Linked DNA regions of Rattus norvegicus. The protein of the gene in region 4 purifies or fractionates together with the protein of the main gene of each other region. This does not show direct contact. Links are inferred from orthologs where the notes say so. Each region holds a gene or a part of one and is shown on either strand. Other genes may lie near its edges. The genes, in order: Canx, Calr, Os9 and Hsp90b1.

Evidence for each region.
Region 1: the proteins of Hsp90b1 (region 4) and Canx purify together in Homo sapiens (affinity purification with mass spectrometry; 4 studies listed by BioGRID and IntAct, with this or other methods). This does not show direct contact. The link is inferred for Rattus norvegicus from reciprocal best matches to the Homo sapiens genes HSP90B1 and CANX.
Region 2: the proteins of Hsp90b1 (region 4) and Calr fractionate together in Homo sapiens (co-fractionation; 4 studies listed by BioGRID, with this or other methods). This does not show direct contact. The link is inferred for Rattus norvegicus from reciprocal best matches to the Homo sapiens genes HSP90B1 and CALR.
Region 3: the proteins of Hsp90b1 (region 4) and Os9 purify together in Homo sapiens (affinity purification with mass spectrometry; 6 studies listed by BioGRID and IntAct, with this or other methods). This does not show direct contact. The link is inferred for Rattus norvegicus from reciprocal best matches to the Homo sapiens genes HSP90B1 and OS9.

What each region holds. Positions count from the first base shown.
Region 1 is NC_086028.1:35,154,475-35,159,443, reverse strand, and holds the start of Canx (calnexin precursor), read left to right. Parts: upstream 1-1,586; 5' UTR 1,587-1,682; exon of another isoform or gene 1,683-1,730; intron 1,731-4,969. UniProt on the Homo sapiens protein: Calcium-binding protein that interacts with newly synthesized monoglucosylated glycoproteins in the endoplasmic reticulum. It may act in assisting protein assembly and/or in the retention within the ER of unassembled protein subunits.
Region 2 is NC_086037.1:40,211,587-40,216,527, reverse strand, and holds the start of Calr (calreticulin precursor), read right to left. Parts: upstream 3,162-4,941; 5' UTR 3,099-3,161; coding exon 3,008-3,098; intron 2,650-3,007; coding exon 2,548-2,649; intron 2,355-2,547; coding exon 2,151-2,354; intron 1,250-2,150; coding exon 1,155-1,249; intron 1,068-1,154; coding exon 858-1,067; intron 779-857; coding exon 665-778; intron 498-664; coding exon 354-497; intron 1-353. UniProt on the Homo sapiens protein: Calcium-binding chaperone that promotes folding, oligomeric assembly and quality control in the endoplasmic reticulum (ER) via the calreticulin/calnexin cycle.
Region 3 is NC_086025.1:64,825,972-64,831,000, forward strand, and holds the start of Os9 (protein OS-9 precursor), read right to left. Parts: upstream 3,100-5,029; 5' UTR 3,071-3,099; coding exon 2,909-3,070; intron 2,498-2,908; coding exon 2,321-2,497; intron 1,647-2,320; coding exon 1,583-1,646; intron 1,460-1,582; coding exon 1,383-1,459; intron 1,181-1,382; coding exon 1,082-1,180; intron 1-1,081. UniProt on the Homo sapiens protein: Lectin component of the HRD1 complex, which functions in endoplasmic reticulum (ER) quality control and ER-associated degradation (ERAD).
Region 4 is NC_086025.1:23,009,059-23,013,745, forward strand, and holds the start of Hsp90b1 (endoplasmin precursor), read right to left. Parts: upstream 3,236-4,687; 5' UTR 3,112-3,235; coding exon 3,063-3,111; intron 2,154-3,062; coding exon 2,051-2,153; intron 1,300-2,050; coding exon 1,158-1,299; intron 729-1,157; coding exon 612-728; intron 1-611.

The DNA.
Region 1 (4,969 bases), on a different chromosome or scaffold from region 4:
TGCATATCTATGAGGTTCAGGCCAAGTCTCACCTCTTTCTCTTTCTTAGAAAAGTTCTGCCTCAACTCCTCTACTCCTTCAGTACTGACATATTTTAACACCTCTCTGCAGGATTTTTTTTTTGTTCTCTTAAATTCAATGCCATCTTGGGTAACACAAGCCAGAACACCCATCCTAAACAAATTTAAATACACACACACACACACACACACACACACACACACACACACACACACACGCGCGCGCGCGCGCGCGCGCGCGTGTGTGTGTGTGTGTGTAAATTATGTGTACTTACGCGCGCGCGCGCGTGTGTGTGTGTGTGTGTGTGTGTGTGTATAAATTATGTGTACTTATGTAATGTCCGCTGTCATTGGATTCGAGGCAGCATAAAATCCCCTGGAACTGGAATTACAGGCAGTTGTGAGTGATGGGAACTGAACCTGAGTTCTCTGGAAGAGCAAGTGCTCTTGATCACTGAGCTCTCTCTATCCAGATCCTTAAGGGGATTCTTCTGCCTTAGCCTCCTAAATACCTAAGAACTGGGACTAAAGCATGTGCCAACCTGGCTTCATTTTTTTTAAACATGCTCTTTATAAGGCAAATAAGGAAAGGGATTTTCTTCTTTAAAATTAGGGAGAATTGGCGGTTACTAAATTGACCTAAACATCAAATCCTTAACTGCCTTTCTCTTGGGGTAGCAGGAACAAAGCTGGTTTCATATGTAGTTACATAGATGATAAAAATCTGTTTCTTTCTCCAGTAGTCAAAGCTTTGGGTCACCAAACACAACCAGGAGCGATCAGGATTTTCAAAGACATAGCCAAATCCATAGCCACTTCAATCTTACAGCGTTTTCACCATATTGAAAAAGGAGTGGGTTACGAAATGGCTATTTTAAATCTGCACATGGCATCACCCTGTCGCTAGAGTATGTCTGATTTTAACGCCTGAAACAGCACGGGAACATGGGAAGGTGAGTTCATGTTGCATGATTGTGACTCTAGATAGTGTTTTGTTAGGTAAAAAGGTCCCAGGTTCAGGGCGATGACTCCGCAAGACAGTGTCTGCTGCCCAGAGGGATCTCATTCGCTGCATAAGCACACTGGCCTGACCTCTCACCATTTCTGATGAAGGGCATAGGTCCCAGACAGGATTGGAACAGGGTTTCTAACTCAATGGGTGGGAAAAGGTGTCTTTTGGATGGCCACCAACACACCGGCCCTGAGGAACCAGGTCGACCCACGCGAGGACGCACGCCAAATCCGCCCGCCCTCCGGCCCGCGCACCCGCCCGTTTGGTGACGGCCGCCTTCTTTCCTCATACCCAATCAGCAACCACTTCCTGCCTCACTCTTGTCCAATCATCACGCTCCACGAAGAATAGCCCTAGGGGGCGTATGGGAAAGAGCTTTGAGCGATGGCCGTATCTACCAATAGATTCTCAGATCTTGCGCAAAGGGACGGGAGTTGACGTTTGTTGTAGCCACTCAGGAACGAGGGGCGGACGCGGGGTTGGGCTTCGTGCGGTGGGGCTCGCTCGCGCGGCGGCGGTAGCCGAGGCCTCTTAGTTCTGCGGCACGTGACGGTCGGGCCGCCTCTGCCGCTGTCTCCACTGCAGCACGGGGCCCGGTGTGCGGGTGGGAGAAGGTGAGGGAGCCGCCAGTGGTCCCCGGGAGGCTCGAGGTGAGACGGGAAGCGTGTGCGGGGACCTCAGGCCTGGGACGAGTCTGGGTGAGCGGCGGCGCGGCGGAGGGGGTCGGGCGTGGCAGGAATCTCGACGGCTGAGGGTCCGGCGGGCATTCGAGTGGCGCAGGCCCGGGCGGACGCTCAGAGCAATGAGGAGAGCGGCAGGGTTAGAGAGACTGGTCTGGGCAGCGCCGCCGGGGTCGGGAGGCGTGGCAGGTGTCCTGGGGTTTCCCTTGACCTCTGAGAAAGCTAACTACTTCCTATGGCTTTGGTTCTAGAGTTTTCTTAGGCCCTGTCCTGGCCCACCCAGAGGTGGACTGAGTAATCCGGTATAGGTGTAGTATTAGAATTAGGCCTAGTAGGTAGCCCAAATAGTAGGGAAAGGTGAAGTAAATCCATAGAGATAAGCGTTACAGTTTCAATATTAGAAAATAATATGTCCAAAGCGAAGTCTGGACCATAGCACCCCGATGAGGGAGTAGAATGTACTAGAACGTGTACCGCTTGAGAAACTTAAGGCTTAACTATTAAAGCACCTGCCTATTCGGTGATGATAGATAGTGATCCAGTGAGGGTATTCACTGGACCTTAAAAGCAGGAAATACAAGCGAAAGTTCAGTTAGTGAGTGTAGGAAACTGAGGCCTAGAAGTTTGAAATGACTGGCCCAAGGTCATACAGGTAGTTCTAATCCAGTTCGGATTGTAACTGAGGACTAGACAGTTTGGGTTTCTTAGTTAAGGTTAAAAGTCCTGGTGCAAGCTCCTAACTGCAGTTTATCGGGGGAAGTGGGATTTGGGAGATTTTCTACTTTATGGCTCAGTCCCCTAGGAGTAGACAGAATGGCTGGTCTTGTATTAAAAGGTAATGGGAATGAGAAATTGGATGTATAGTAAAGGTTCAAGGAGTAGTAATTGCACTGGCTTCTTGTAGTCGGAGTGAATGCTTTGGTCATTACACTGATATACTAATTTTTATGTTAAGTCCTGAGGGCACATTAATGACACCTTGTATATTAACTGCTGGTCATGACATTAGTGATTGCTGGTTGTGTGAAGTTAAACCGAACTGAATATTAAATGCTTGACAGAGATGAGCTACGGTTTCTTTACCCTGAGGAAATGGAAGATTCTGCCTGTTTTTTAAATAATCCTCCCCCTTTTTAAAGGGAGAAATAATTGGGTTATCTGAAAAATCTTAGTATATTTTCTAGTACCATTTGAAAGGACACGAACGGAATCGATTCTCATTTTGTACTTGAGCTGTAATTAAGCTTACAGGCCAGGCAGGGTACACAAGTGAGCCAGGCCCTGAAGAACTGTTTATAGAAGTGAACTATCCACAATAGGAGTTTACTGAGCTGTCTGAAAAATGGGTGTCTCCGCCTTGCTATCTTAACAGTGCAATTAGCTCTGTAATCTTTCAAGGGCCACAAGGCACGTGCATCTTGACAACACACCTTGCATCCATGTCCTGGAGAGGTCACTTGCCCTGCCAGAGAACTTGAAGGGAGTAGAGTGGCAGTTGGTAAGCATAACTGCAGAATACAGTGTCCAGCATAGTAGCTTTGCTTCCTGTCCTTTATAAATGGGAATGAGTCTCCTACTTGCTTTACCTTTGAGGGGGCAGCTACTAAGAAACTGCTTTGGAAAGTATAAGGAAATGGGCAAATAGAATTGGCAGCTCATAAAAAGTCCTAAGAAGTAAAGTGCCAACCAAAGATAGTTGTAGTCTGTATAACTTACTGTAAAACTCATTAGGAACATGCTTATTAAATGCTTTGTTATTGCTACAAGTGCTAGGTAAGAATTTTTAGGCTTATTTATCTAATTTTTGGTGTATGCGTGTTTTGCCTGCATGTATGTATGTGTACCAATGTGTGTGAACCATCATGTTGGTGCTGGGGATCAAACCTGGGTCCTCTGGAAGAGCAGCCAGTGCTTTTAACCAGAGCTATGTCTTCAGCTCTGAAAAATTTCCTTTTTTAAAGAATCTAGAAAATTTTCATATTGTGGTATTAATGTCTTTTTAAAAATCTCGTTAAGATTTATTTAGGTCGGGAGAGATGCTCAGCAGTTGGGAGCACTGGCTGCTCTTCCAGAGGTCCTGAGTTCAATTCCCAGCAACCACATGGTGGCTCACAGTCATCTCTAATGGGATCCAATGCTCTCTTCTGGTGTGTCTGAGGACAGTATACTTATGTGCATGAAATCACATCTTCCCTCTGGCCTTTTTTTAATTTTTTATTTTTTTATCCTTTTTTTTTCTAAAGATTTATTTATGTATGCCTGCAGGTCACAAGAGGCACCAGATCTCATTACAGATGGTTGTGAGCCACCATGTGGTTGCTGGGAATTGAACTCGGCCTCTGGAAGAGCAGTCAGTGCTCTTAACCACTGAGCCATCCCTTCAGACCCCTCTCTGGCCTTTTTTAAAAAGTTGTATATATATATTTTTTAATCTTATAAAAGATATATTTAAAAACATTTTTATGTGTATATAGGTATAATTATATACAATATATTCATGGGTGCCCGTGGAGGCCAGAAAAGGGCATTATATTCCCTGGTGTTGGAATTACAGACTGTCATAAGCTGCCCATCTGGGAACTGAACCACCTCTCCATCCTGGGTATTCACATCTTAAAGTGAATTAATATGAAAAAAGTTAATTAAAAAAATTTAGTAGATGGATGGTGTGGTAGTGGCTCACCTTTGATCTCTGCATGAGGATAGATTTCTCTCTGAGTTCAAGACCAGCCTAGTCTACAGAGTGAGTTCCAGGACATCCAAGACTGTACAGAGAAACCCTGTCTCAAGAAACAGATTATTTCTATGTTTCTGTTAATGAAAAGAGATCCAAGAAGGTGGGTATAACGCTTGCTTAGCAAGTTTGAGACCAAGGGCTTTACTCCCAGCACATGAAAGCAAAAACCCGAAATCTGACCTGTGAGTAAGGTATTACAGATCTCATTGATAGAGCGGATCACAGATCACACTGTTTCCCAGGTGTCTCCCTCCTCCCACTCCCACTCCACCCCACCCCCAAATGCTAAGGATGGAATCTAGAGCCTTGAACTTAGTCTACTACTCAGCTGTATCTCCTGACTGCCAAGGTAATCTTGAATTTCTGGGTTCACTTAATCATCCAAATTCAGGGACTACAGGAGTGTGTAATCATGCATATTTTTTATTATTTAATAGATGAGCATTTACAGCTGTATTTTTCCCTATTAAATGTTATAATTCTCACAAGATGTTTTGTTTTTTGTTTGTGTGTGCTTGTG
Region 2 (4,941 bases), on a different chromosome or scaffold from region 4:
GGTGCTCAGTGGGGCCAGAGACAGCTCAGCAAATAAAGGTACTTGGTTGCCAAGCTTTTTTTTAACGACCAGAGTTGATTCCTAAGACTCACATGGTGAAGAGAACCAACTTCTCCAACAATTTTTTTCCTCTATGTATACCGACACACATAAAAACGTTTCAATAACAAATCAGCTTTCTTTTGTGTTAGTAAAAAAAAAGGAGATAAAACAGGAAATGTCTCAATAAGTGGACATTTCAGAATTTAAACACCTTGAGGTTGGTGCCTCTGCCTGTTCTTCCCTCCAGATCAACCAGTACAATCCTGACTACTTGAGGTCTGCCAGGAACCCTTGTCTTTCCTATGTCTCACCTGCCAGAGGTCTAAGCCCAGTACAGCAAAACTATCATAGGCATAGATATTCGCATCGGGGGAGTATTCAGGATTGTCAATCTCTGGGTGTATCCAGGTACCCTTGTAATCTGGGTTGTCAATTTGACGTGGCTTCCATTCGCCCTGTAGAAGAGAACCAGATGAACAGAGGTGGACACATCCCACAGTACAACCAACCACCCTGCTTAGAACCCCAAGGCATATCTTGTCTTTTTCCTGTGGTGCGACATCAATCATAGCACCAAAGGAAGCACCCTACTAGTGAGCAGCACCTCAACACCCAAGCCTACCTTGTATTCAGGATTTTGAATCACTGGTGGTTCCCACTCTCCATCCATCTCTTCGTCCCAGTCCTCAGGCTTCTTAGCATCAGGGTCAGGGATGTGCTCTGGCTTGTCCCAGTCCTAGGAATATACAGGGAGGTCAGGGGGACCCAGGGTCCTCCCCCTAGGATGGAGGTGGAGCTGTTGTCCCAACACTAACCTCAGGCTTGGAATCTGTGGGGTCATCAATCTTGGCTCGTTCATCCCAGTCTTCTGGCTTGGCAGCGTCAGGATCCTTAATCTTCTTGGGCGGCAGAAAGTCCCAATCATCCTCCAAGGAGCCCGACTCCACCTGGCTGTTGTCAATTTTCACCTCGTAGGTGTTGTCTGGCCGCACAATCAGCGTGTATAGATGTGTGAATTCATCATCCTGAAGAAGGAAGGAGGTGAGCAGTCCCTCCCACCAGGCTGCCTGGACCTCCCGTGACAGCCACTTAAATGACTACCCCAGACACACCTTACACCGGATATCCTTGTTGATCAGCACGTTCTTGCCCTTGTAGTTAAAGATGACATGAACCTTCTTGGTGCCAGGACCGCAGATGTCCGGACCTATGTAGGAAGCATATGCAGGCTGATGGCAGGCTCTACCCTTGGGGAAGAAAGACCTAACCTTATGTATTTATGCGTACGTACGTATGTACGTACGTATGTACGTACGTGTGTGTGTGTGTGTACCATGCATATACAGGAGCCTGCAGAGGGCACTGGAGTTGGAGAGCTACTGTTTGAGTGCTGAGAACTGAACTTCAGTTCTTTGAAACCATTGCATCCACTCCAGCTCCTATTTTGTTTTTGACAGAGGATACTGTTACCTTTAACTGAAGCTGCCTTTAAAGTACTCACCTACCTCAGTAGTGTGAATGCTGGAATGTACCATGGCTATCTAGAAATAAAGACCTGATCTTGTCTTTTTTTTCCCCTGAGACAGGATCTCTACGAAGTCCTAGCTGTTCAGGAATCATGGAGAGGCACCTGATTTCAATATACCTATTAAAGGCATCAAAGACTACAAATCTGAAAAGAGTACCATTCTGGGCCAGCAAAGGGCTCAGGGGTAAATTAGGTGCTTGCCACTAAGCCTGATAATGCAAATTTGATCCTGGAACTCAGATGACAGAAGAGATTTCCAAAGTTGCCCTCTGACCTTCACACTAGTACATACACAGGTACATAAAAAATTTGCACTTTTTCCAGTGATTTCTTTGACCCTGTCATTAGCATCATTTCTAAAATTAAGAAACATGTAGAAAATACCATAAAAATGAACAATATAAATCTACAACTAATAGAGTCCACCAACTAATAAAGTAAACCCTTTAGTTGTCCCCTCAGGACAAAAATCATTCAAGTGCTTTCCATGATATGAAGATCAGCATTCTAGTTATAAAGGGTTTCAGTTCGCACCCACTGTCCAACCGGCAGAGGTCAGCATTGGCTGGGGGCCCCTCACCAAACATGATGTTATATTCTGAGTCTCCATGCATGTCCTTCTGGTCCAAGCCACCCGGAAACAGCTTCACGTAGCCGCCCCCACAGTCGATATTCTGCTCATGCTTCACGGTGAACTGTACCACCAGTGTCTGGCCCTTGTTGCTGAAGGGTTCGAATCTGGCGGACAGCGCGTAAAATCGGGCATCTTGGCTTGTCTGCAACCCTGTGATGAAATGGGATTGTCGTTAGGTGGACCCCAAATACCCTAGACCTTGAGGGGCACAGTTGACCGCCCCTTCCTTCCTCCACCTGTCATTGGCTCCCTCATTCCTGGGAAAAGCTCCAACAAGCTGTGTGCACTGACAAGAGCTTCCTCCAGGAAGTTGTCTTGAATCCAAGCACCCACTCCCTCGTACCTTTATCCTTCTCCTGGTCCCCGTAGAATTTGCCAGAACTGAGGACGAATTTGCCAAAATCAGACTTATGTTTGGATTCGACCCAGCGGTTGGTCCAGGCATCTGAAAGAGAAAGGCTTAGGAGTCAGATCAGCGGGACCGTCCGACCCCCGCCCCCATAACCAACGTCTGTCAGGAGCTACAAGCAAGTGGGGGTGGGGAAGGGGATTCCCATCCCAACCTCGAACTTGACACCTCGATCGGCTTCAGGTCCTTGAACGAACCTTAACTCCGGGCGCGGGAAACCGCTGCGCCTTCCTGGTCCCCCAAGGACGCACAAATGGAACCGCCCGCGGCTCTAGTCCCCCCGGGGCCACAGTGTTGGCCCTCTGAACGGTAATTACTTTACACACGACGAGGCAGCCGAGGGCTCGGGGCCCAGCAGTCGCTGAGGCGGCCTCGAGGCGGGCCCAGACCTTACCTCCGTCCAAGAACTGCTCTTTGAAATAGATGGCAGGGTCTGCGGCAGCCAGGCCGAGGAGGCCAAGCAGGAGCGGCACCGAAAGGAGCATGGCGGGCCGAGGGGGCGGCGGCACACTGGCCCTTTAAAACGATCTTCAAGCAGCGGCTCTGCGGTATTGACGGACGCGGCCGCCGCTGCTCCAATTTATATCCACCTACCTCTCATCCCAACCTGACACGACCGCTGAGCCCGCCCCTCGGTCCTTCTGACTGGTTTAGACCTACAGCTGTCCCTTCTCATTGCGTCCTAGTCGCCTCAGCAAGTTAGGCTGTGGCTCGGAACGCTGGGATCCCAGATGGCTGATTTCTATTGGCCGCACCCTGGGCCAATCAGGGTCGACCACGCGTTGTAGGGGACGCCCCCTGTTGGGGTGGGGGCCGCGAGCCCACTCAGGCGCGGTCACGTGACTGAGCCTCAGCCCAACCCCGCCCTTGCTGGTGAGAGTCCCTTGCTCGCCATGAAGTCGTTTAAAGAATCCGCGCGAGCAGTACCGGGTGTTAACCGTGCGGGACCGAGACTGGGCCTCCGTCTCGTCTCGGCCTTTTTCCATCCTTTCTGGTCAGAGGGAAGAAGCAAGGATTCTTTGCAACTTTGATGTTCCATCTATACTGCACTTAGGGAACGCCCACCGATGGCAAGCTTTTCCTATTCAGGATAAGGTCAAGGGCCAGGATCCTGGGGTTTCGCTGCATTCTGGTTCCCAGTTGTTCAGGCCAGTAGAGAATGTACCAGCTTTCTCCTCTTGTCCCGTAGTTCCCTGACAGCCTGTCAGACTACTGTGTGACATGATACAAGTCACTTCGCCTCCCTGAAATCTCAGAAGCCAACAGGGGTGACCCTGAGCTATCTGACAGAAATGCTCTTAAACCTTTCAGGGCTATCCACGGTTTGAGAGCAGGAAACATAGTGGTCTCATCGGTGTGAATGTAAGTGTGTGTCCTTGGGTGAGAGGTAGTAACCCTACCTCTATCATTTTTTACTCTTACGCTGGAAAATGGAAAGAGTCACTTCTTGTGGTCTCCCACAAACGACTTGGCTTTTGCAATTAAACGGCTATGAGCAGACAGCAAGGGGTGCCGTTTGAGAAGGAAAAAGGACACAGATGGCTGTGGTGATAGAGTTCTAAGGAGATAAGCAGGACCCTTGGATCTGGAGGCCTCTGACTCAAATCATGTGACTGTGGCCAGCACCCTGCTTGCTGCTAGGAGGAGGAAGGACAGTACCTGTAGGGGTTGGGGGATGGGAGGTGTTTCCAAACTGAGGAATTGGGAACACTGGAACAGACAAGGAACTGCACAGAAGGAATCCTTACAAAAATGGAGTGCTTCCTTCTCAGTGAGAGGAACTCAAGCAGTAATGACACTTAAGGTCAAGAAGTTGGGGGTCCACTCTGTTCCCCAGGCAGTGTCCAGAACTAAGCATTGCTGGTGTAGGTCCCTCTGGAGGACACCCAAGTCCAACAGACCTGTGACTGGCCCTGTCTCCAGTCCTGTGACTGACACATATGCCTTCTGCTTTGTCCTAGTACTTAAGAAGTTGAATGAAGCAGGGATCAAAAGTTCAATGTAATTCTCAGCTATGATGTAGTGAGTTTGAGGCCAGCCTGGGCTACATGAGACCCTGCTTCAGCACAATGAAATAATGGACTGGAGAGATTTGTTTTGGCTGCTCTTTCGAACTACCCCAGTTCTATTCCCAGCCCCCTCGTGAAGCATCAAAATGACCTGTAACTCCAGTTTCAAAGGGTCTGAAACCCTCTTCTGTGGGCACCAGACATCAAATGGTAGAGAGAAATACGTGCAGGCGAAACACCTATACGAATAAAATGAAATTTAAAAACTAAAAAAGAAACCAAATGTGGCAAAGCACAGCTGTCAACTTCAGCAGGATCG
Region 3 (5,029 bases), about 42 Mb from region 4:
TTCTGTATGCACCTGCTTGTGTGCCCCACCTGCCTCCGCTCAGCTGTGACCCAGGAGAATAAAGAGGACCATTCGCTAGGAGGCTACTGACCGAGATGCTGGTGAGAATTCAGAGTCCCAGCCACGGGACAAACGGGTTGTCTCTTGTTCCTTTTCCCATAGTTCACAATAGCCTTAGGCTCACGATGCTCCCACCTCCGCCTCCCAACTTACTGAGATTACAGGTGTATACTGCCATGCCCAACTGGTGAGAGGCTTTTGGTTTTTGAGGCTGTCCTGGAACCCACTAGGTAGACCAGGCTGCCTTTGCATTCACAGAGATCCACCTGCCTCTGTCTCCAGAGTGCTGGGAATCGAAGGCGTGCGCTGACGCTGTCAGCCCTGAAGCCAGTTTTAAAAGGCCATTAAGAGGATAGCTGGGCTTTGAGCGAGCTAGCCTTATCTCCCTCCTTCTCATCCTTGGTTCTACGATGTGGTTCTACGCTGTGACCCTTTAGCACAGTTCCTCCTGCTGTGGTGGCCACCCCTCAGCCATGGGATAATTTTCTTCTAGTTGAAATCTTGCTGCTGTTATGAGTCATAATGTAAATATCTGACATCCAGGGCATCTGATGTGTGGTCCTTGTGGGGTCTCGGACCACAGGTTGAGAACCACTGACTTGTGGCTTCTTTCAGACTCACTTCTTGGGTTAGCATCCCTTGTATATCAGGCCCTCCTCACATGCAGGAACTTCCTGTTTGCTTCCCACTTTGCTGGAAGAGTTAAGGCCGATGTCTCCATGTTACACCCAGAGCAAGAAGAGTCAAAGACAGACAGACGCTAACGTTTACAGCTTAGGTAACGGAAAGGAGAAATGTTGGAAAGGCTTAAATGTGCCTGGAAGTACTGAGGGTAGCCTATGGGAAACGCAGAGTTAAATTACCTCCACAAATGCAATGATATCACTCCGGCAGCTAGACATCAGCCCCAGACTGGGCTCTACACCTAAGAGATACTGTTCACTTCAGGGCACAAGCATCCTTCTCCCATAGTAACAGATGGACTATTGTTATTCAGGGAAGGTTTTCTTCGAAGACTTACCCGAACTTCAGCTTCTCTGGGCTTCCCATTGAGATCGCATTTGGACCCATTGCCGTAGGTCTGGCTGTGGTAGCGTTTCAGCCGATGCTGCTTGGAGGCCTGGAGAAAACATGAGGTAGGATGAGGGCATGAGGAAGGGTCTCTCCCACAGGGACCCGGGGATCAAAAGACCTGATCCAGGGGACTTGATGGGTACCAAACCCCAAGAAACATAGCAGTTCAGTCTGACCCTCCTGTCGCCTGGGTTGTCTGTCTGAAGCTCAGCCAGTCCCCATTCCAACCCCAATCCCCAGCCAGTCACCTTGGCTGTTTCATCGTCCCAGTTGAAGGCTGACTGGTAGTAGCCAAGGTAGAGGACGTCACCTTTGATCTCCGAGTCTGTAAAAGAAGCCACAGTAAAGCACATTATTCTATTATGAGGCCTAGGAGGGAGGACTGAGAGGGAGGGTCGCCATCCACACGGCATCATGAAGGCTTAGGGAGAATGTAGGAGTTACTCACCTTCCATATGGTACTGCTGGATATGGCGTCCATAACAGAATTCATATGTCCACCAGTCCTTGGTCTGACAATGGAAAGAGAACAATCAGGAGGCACGAAAACGGCTCCTTGTGAAACCAGTCTCCTGGATCCAAGATATATAACCTGTCACTGAGTTCTCACCTCCTGCTCTCTCTCCCCTCATGCATTCTTGATTCTAAGAGAAGGGACAGCTGTTTTCTTTTCATGGCCAGAGACGCACATCTAAAGTATAACTGATTCCCACCCACACCCTGTCTGTCTGTCTGTCTGTCTGTCTGTCTGTCAGGAAAGGGGTAAGACAGGGCCACAGTGCACTGTGATCCAACCTAGGATCACAGGCATAAGTCATTCCCTGCCCTCCATAAAGATAAGAAATCATGGTATCCTTGAAGCACTCAGAAGGACCCTCCCACAGGTTCAAGTATTAAGTGAACTTCTTTGAATACAATGGCATCCCGGGGTAAAGAGCAATAGGAGCAGAGGGTGACTTTATGGGTAAGCTCCTGCTCTTCCCATCCCATCACTGTTCTTCTCATCTTGGTTTAACCAATTTTGAGATCTTCTAACGTAACCCTTCCCTACACTCAGCAGAGTCTTTGCTTTGTTTCCCCCTCCTCCGTCTGAAAACAATGTCTAGTACACCAATGGCCCCTTAACTCCCACCGCCCCCCATTCCAGTTCCCAAGACTTCACTCCGCCCACCCCAGTTCCTTTCACCTTCAGCAGACAAGGGGCATCTCTCATTGGGCTCAACAATTCAGGAATCCCGGGCCCCTGGTAAGCAGGTGTCTCCTCCTCCCTTTCACGCTGGAAGTGAATAGCTCCAGCTGGTAGGCGGCACTCATAGCGCTGTTTGTACTTTGAAGACACAACCACCACGTCTGAAGCTTGGCTCTGGGAAAGAAGGGTCGGGAAGGGGGGCAGGGAGGCAGACGCTGGGACCAAGAACAACGAGATCCCTCTTCAGACCCTGGGGACGTGCCCAGTGGAAGAGAGAATAAGCCACAAGTCCTCCAGCAGCCCCGGCTGAGCGGAGGAGAGGGCGCTCTCGCTTCCCCACCTGGCGGGGTCCGGCTCCTTTCAACGCGACCTGGGGACCCGAGGTCCACAGCGGAGAGCCCCACCCCTGCCGGTGCCTGGTCCCCGGGGATAGATCTGCCTGCCATTCCCAGCAGGATCGTAGAAACACCACCATGTCTTCTTCATTCCCCCGGTCTCCCGCGCCGGACGCGCAGCTGCCTTTCCTCCTCCACCTTGCGCCCCTACCTCTTGCACAGGACCCTCGCCTCGCCCTACATCCCTCACCTGCCCTCCCATGACAGGCAACGGCAGGATCTGGATGCCATAACGCATCTCACTCAGCTCCTCCAAATTCAGGCTCCCGACACCGCCCGTCAGATGCGCAGGTAACAGGAGCCCCAGAAATAGCAATCCCAACAGACTGGACAGCAGCGCCTCCGCCGCCATCTTCCGCTTCGTCTCTGCTAGAGATGTTCCTTCCGCCCCAAACCTGGCAGCGGCCTCACCCGTCTATTAGCGCCTCAAGCTCTCATTGGCTGCCCGGGCGCTCTCTCTTACGTAACTCATCCTCATTTGTAAACGTGGCGTCAAAGCCTCCAGGGAGGCGGGTCGCACTGGTAGTAAAAATCAATAGCTGCTTCTGATTGGTCAGGAACAACAACCAATCAGCTACGAGATTAGGCCCCTCCCCTCCTCGCTCCTTATTCCTGAGAGGTGTGGACTGGCTGTGTTCTTTTGCTTCTTGTCTGGTCCCTGCCTTCGCCCAGCTGTCAGGAATAGAGCTTCTTATTACTTTTTCGTATATCTCTTGCGATGTATGGAGCCTCCATTGGGCAGAATATTGAGACGGATGGTGAGTGTGGGGGATATCTTTGAAACTTAATATCTTTCGCAAAACATACTATACAGAAGCATGACTCTTCATATAAACATATATGTATCCGCACATATATTTATGTGTTATATATACAATTATGTACATATATGTATACACAAATATACGTATATGTACATATTTATATATACATATACACACATATGTGCTAATATATTACCAGCAGCCAAATAGTCTGTGTCAAAACCTGAGTTTGTCCTCCAATAAAATTATCTTTTTTTTCTTTTCTTTTTTTTTTGGAGCTGGGGACCGAACCCAGGGCCTTGCGCTTGCTAGGCAAACACTCTACCACTAAGCTAAATCCCCAACCCCCCAATAAAATTATCTTAAGAAGGAGAGTGTGGTAGTGCATGCTTGTAATCCAGGCACTTGTGACACAGAGGCAGGAGGATCAATAATTCAAGGTCATCCTCCTCCATATAGTGAGTTCCAGAGCGTCCTTCGAGATGAGTCACACTCTTTCAAATACACACAGACACTGGTTTAGCGTGTGCAAAGCCCTGTGTTCAATCTGCCGCACAGTGTGAACCAAACATCCTGGTGTACACCTGGAATCCAAGCAGTCCTTGGCTACACAGAGTCGGATCTAAGCCTGAAATACACAAGACTCTGTCTCAAAACAAGAAGAAATGACAATGGAGCCAAGAGTGGAGGTGGATGCCTATAATTACAGGCTGAGGCAAAAAGAATAGACGGTTGGAGCCCAGCCCAGCTTATGAACAGCAAAGTCTTGAGGAGGCAATGAAGGAAAGAGGAGGAGGAGGAAGGGGGAGAAGAAGGGGAGGAGGAGGGGGAGGAGGAGGAAGGAGGAAAAGAAGAAGAAGAAGAAGAAAACAGGCAGGGGTAAGGAAGGCAGGGGAGAAGAGAAGGAGGAAATAAAATAAAGGGGCTTCTGGTTAAAGTTGAGCCAGGGGTTGGAGATGTGGGAAAAGTGTCTGTTCTGTCTAGAACGTAAGAGGAAAACCTGTGAAAACAAGAAGAAAATGAAGCCAGAAACAAACAGAAAGGTAACTGGATTAATAACCCTGAGAATACCAACACCTAAATGAAGGCAAGCGAGAGGTATACTATACCACTGGAAATTTCTGCGGGGAAGTTCACCATGCCAGGGGGAAAATCCAAAAGGTACTCTCACTAGGGTTCTGTTAATGAAACAGGCACACATCCCGCCTAAACCCTTTGGGCTGAGTGCTGAAACCTGCACACAGACTTTCCAATCAGATCTCTACAAGACCTCACACTTAAATACTCAGAAAGCCAAGCATAGTCATCTGTCTAAGGGAAATTCTTAATATACAAGAAAAGAACCAAACCAAGCAAGCCAGAAAGGAAAAAGCAAATTGGAGACTAGAGAGATGCCTGGGGAGGGAGGGACAGGTGCAGATGGGAAAGTGTTTCGGTGAAAGCCTGAGTTCACAGAAAAATCAGACTCAGCTGACAGTCTGTAACATCACCTCACCAGGGCAGAGTTTTATGTCATCATGACACAAGCTAGAGTCACCTGGAGGAAG
Region 4 (4,687 bases):
GTCAAAGAAAGATACCAACCCAAATGAAGTAAAGTTCTAGGAAACAAGCCTCTTATTTCACAGAAATTAAAAGGGATTTGGGGACCTGTGATTATTAATGTTTCTCACTAAATAGTCCGGCTGTCTTCAAGAACCTGGTAGGACTGAGCATACATTCATAGGCCGCATGATTATTTCTGCCCAATGAAGGTGCAAGTGGGAGCTGAGTGTGACTTTCAGGCTAAGCCTTTAATTGGTGTGCGACCCTTTGCACCATGGCAACCAGAGACACTCCAGATGGCTGCTCAGCCAGCCTGTGGAATGATTTAAGCTGAGGTCTTGGCTACCTTTTCCTAAAGGACTAGGTAGTATCTATTTTTGGCTTTAGGAGCCATAAGGTCCCGTCAGTGATTACTGCCATTGTAGACAAAAGAATTTGTACTATAAAACTAGGTATGACTTCCAATAAACCTAATAAAAAACAGGCCAAGTCAGTTTGACTCACAGGTAGCCTGTGGACTTCCATCCAAACCCACGGTGAGCAGAAGCTCCTTTCACACCAGAATAACCTACTGATGCGGTGCCTGGTTTCTGAGTATCAGTTTTTAAAAGGAAACAGTTTTTTAAGTCACCTTAATCTTGACCGTCAACTCCTCATTTCCAGCAAGTGCATTTTCATCAGTTAGTGAGATGAGCCTTATCTTGTCTAAAGCATCAGAAGCATTTGAAATCAGTTCTCTCAGGAAAATCTAAAAGGAAGAAGCCAGATTTAATGAAGTGGGACTAACCTCCAGGCACAGTAAGGTGTTGGTTCTTATGGCCAACTCCTCTCCTTTCTCCTCAGAAGCATGAAAAGGCACTCTTTAAGAACCAAGCCTTTTCTAGTGCCAGGGATGGCTTTACTCTCTTCATAAAAAAGGAGGCGTGACTCTATAAAGCTCTGTGGCAAGTACAAGGGATATCTGAAGCGGTGGGAACAGGACTACCTCTCCCACCCCCTCAGTGGTACAGCTGTGTGACTCCACCTCAGCCAGCACGTCATAACCTTATTCTGAGCTGAAAGGAAAGCTGGGGACATTGTCTACTCCCTTCCCACCCCAATATGTACCAGTAGCAATTCTCATTCATAATCTACCACAAAAGGAGCAGAGCTGCTGTCCTAACCGTGTGATGCTTACCTCTTTATTTTTATACAAAGAATTGATGATAAGTTTCATCATCCTGTTAACTTCAGCTTGGAAGGCGAACTTTTCCGATTTTTCTCTAAGTTCCCTTATTTGTGATGCATTTAAACCATCCAACTGAATAGCTTCTTCCTCTCTAAGGAAATCAAAATAGATAAGCAAATACTTAGTTTCATTTTTCTAAGTCTCTACTCAGGATACACCTTTGTAAAAGACCACTAACATACCAGCTCACTCTTACACAGAAATGGGTGCTATACTTAATGCTGGGCTGCAAAGATTTACAAAAATTCCCAGAAATACACACCCAGCTCCCATCTACTGAAAAGCAAGTCATGATTCGTGTATGCCTATGCAGTGAACACTTTGATCAAAATTTAAAACACACCTCACCCAGTGAAAAGCCCCTTTCTTAAAAAAAGTTACAGGCATAAGTTCTATTTTTCATAGTACTAACTTCACGAAAATAAAAACCAATCTGAAGTCTTCTGTCAGGTCTTAGAGGCCTACAACTTCGTCATCGGTTTTCTGATTTTGGATGCCGAGGCTTATTCCTAGCACCTCCTTCAACTTTCCTTCTTCTTTTTTTTTTTCTTCCCCCCGGAGCTGGGGACCAAACCCAGGGCCTTGCAAGCGCTCTACCACTGAGCTAAATCCCCAACCCCACAACTTTCCTTCTTGAATCAGTAGTCACTCCTAGGAGCAGACTGACCTAGGAGAGTTCTGCATGCAGATAAATGGGCCCTCCTAAGAACTCCCTGGTTATTTTGTATCATTAGCAACATTTCACACACTGCACATTGTAATCTCAATGTCTGGAGAACAAAAACAGCCAATGTGTCCCACTAACTTGCAGAGTTTATCAGCATAGTTTCAAATGCACTGACCTCTGCACAACTTCATCGTCTGTCCGTGAGCCTTCTCTACTTTTACCCAGGTCCTCTTCTACCGTGCCATCCACATCGACTTCATCGTCAGCTCTCACAAACCCTGAGGAGAAAGGTTAAAACTCTCAATACTACTGCTTCCTCTCCTTCCCATATACAGACAGACCAAGCAGGGCAAGAGGGAGGGTTAACACAATTCAGCGACGTGATGGAAAAATGATGTATTGACGTTAGTAACCAATGTCAAGGCATGTTTGCGCGCTGAAGTTTAAATGTGAATGCTCAAGACTCCCCCGTTGACTCTGGAAGGCCAGGCAGCCATCACTCATGTCTATCGTTCCTTAGACACAAGGCAGTGAGTGATACAGGCTCCCGTCTACACCCACACGTGTTGCGCACAGCCGAGAGCAGGCCTCCACACAGGCCAAGCCAAAACTTGGGCCTCGCTTAACTATCACAGGTCGGAATGCAAACAGGGTTTGTGCAACTTCTGTTGAGGGGAACTGAAATCCGGCCCAAAGGGGAAGACATGTCAAGGACCGCGCTTGAAGCACATCGGAATCGGATACTGGGCCACCGCCACCAAGCTGGCCCGAGGGCCCACGCTCGCGAGTCGGGCGTTAGAAAACAGAAACACGCTCTGGAAGAACCAGAGGGCAGGGGCTAGGGGTCCTCAGGCTCGGGTGGCCAAAGGTCGGACCTGATGACAAAAGTCCTTAGGGAGGGGCCCCAGCAAGGTTTCCCCCGTGAGTAGAGTCCGAGAGGCCGCGCCCCGCCAGCGAGACTTCGGGGAGCGCTCCAGCTCCATCCGCAGAGTATTTAAATACCGCGGCTCCAAGTCTCCTCTTCCCAGAGGCCTCAGGGCAAGGCATCATCACCCGAGTCCCCTTCGAGGAAAGGACATAGTGCCTGGACCCTCTGTAGCCCCCGGCATCCCCCTCCCAGGCTCAACGCCCCAAGAACGTTCGAGAAGCGGCCGCGCAGGAAGGTGGGGGGGCGCCCGATCACTCACCGAAGGTCAGCAGGACGCAGCAGAGGCCCAGCACCCACAGGACCCTCATGGTGCGTGGCCGGAGAGTCGCAAGTCCTTTTCGGTCGCAGGAGCCGCCTCCACCCCCCCAACCCGGAGTCTCAGGTCCTCACACCTCCAGCAGCGCGGTCCGCCCACTAAACCGCGCGCAGGTCGGGCCGCTTTTCACCCCACAGCTTGCGGGCGGGGGACGGGAAACACGAACCCACCAATCGTGCCTCACCACGCACTCTCTGCACCCAATGGGGACGCATGGGGGGGACCGCAACTCGCCAATCGGAACTGTCCAGGTGCGGTGCCCGATGCCCGAAGCGTGGCTCCTTTCGATTGGGTTTGTCCAGCAGCTTTTCTCCAATCAAATGGCTCCGCGGGCCCCTCACACACCGGGCCACCCCTTGGCCTGGGAAGCCTTGGTCTCTGAGGAAAACCGTCCAATGAATGTAGGCGCATAGCACGTCTGTCCTTTCCTAGAGGTCCCGGGGAACCACTTCCGGCTCTTAGAGAACGTTTGTTCCGTGACTAGGGGAAACCGTAGCCAAGACAATGTGGTTTATACCCTTTTCCCGTCTACGACGTGGGTCACGTTACGAGCCCTTTCAGCGCTACGTTCGCCGTCACCTTTCTTTTGGGCGTTTCTTTTCGCAAAAGAGAAATTTGTGAGGGGTTGAATATCCGGAGTGCGTTTGGATGGTGGTGAGAAACTACAGTTTCCGGCATGCAACGCGCTAGTCTCAAGAATGCTGGGAATTGTAGTCTCTGGCGTCTAAGCCAGTTGCGTAGTTTGGCCCTTGCGCTTACTCTGGTCTTGTGTCCGCGGGAAATGTCTCCTGAGTGATTTAGATTTCCACCTAATTCGGATTGCAGAATAGATCTATGCTTGTTCTAGGACTCTAATGCACACAATTTTCAGAGGCGGCTTTGGAAAGTCGCCCCGCGTGGCCCTAGTCTCGCCGTGTCAGAGGGCCAGCTACGGATTCTGGGCTCCGCCTCTGGCTGATGGTAGCACGCCGGTTTCCAGGTCGGCTTTCTAGCGCGTCATTCAGGTTTTCACTTGGCGTTGCGCTGCCCGCAACTCCAGACCTCTCTGGTTTGATTTGCAGTAGAGGGTGGTGGGGGTTCACCAACCCCCAAGGAAACTCCAAGAACCCAAGTTCCTTTGACATCCCCATTAAATATCAAGGAATGACCTGGCAATCTAGAGTCCCTCTTGTGATTCGGCTGGAGAGCACGGTGGTGAAGTCCAGGCTAGCATAGAACAGGAAAGGACATTTGCAGATACTTGAAAGCAAAAGCCGCAGTGCTTGCAAAATAGCCTGGATTGTGGCTTTGTAACTTCATAGAAACACCTTTCCGCCTTCCGACAGACAGCAAGAGAGGCTCTCTGGTGAGGGAAGTCCCTAAGGCCAGCCTGTGCATTCCGAAATGTTCTCTAAGCTCTTTTGTCTCATTTTAACAAAATTTTCACCAGCACGGGTGCCTGCCTCTAACACACCCGTTCTATCACCTCTTTCTCCAAGAAAATTGGAGTTGTTTTCAGGTAATCCAAATTCCCGAAGGCAAGCTTTTCAGTAACAGTGTCCTAGACCCTTGGACAACTTTGAGAATTT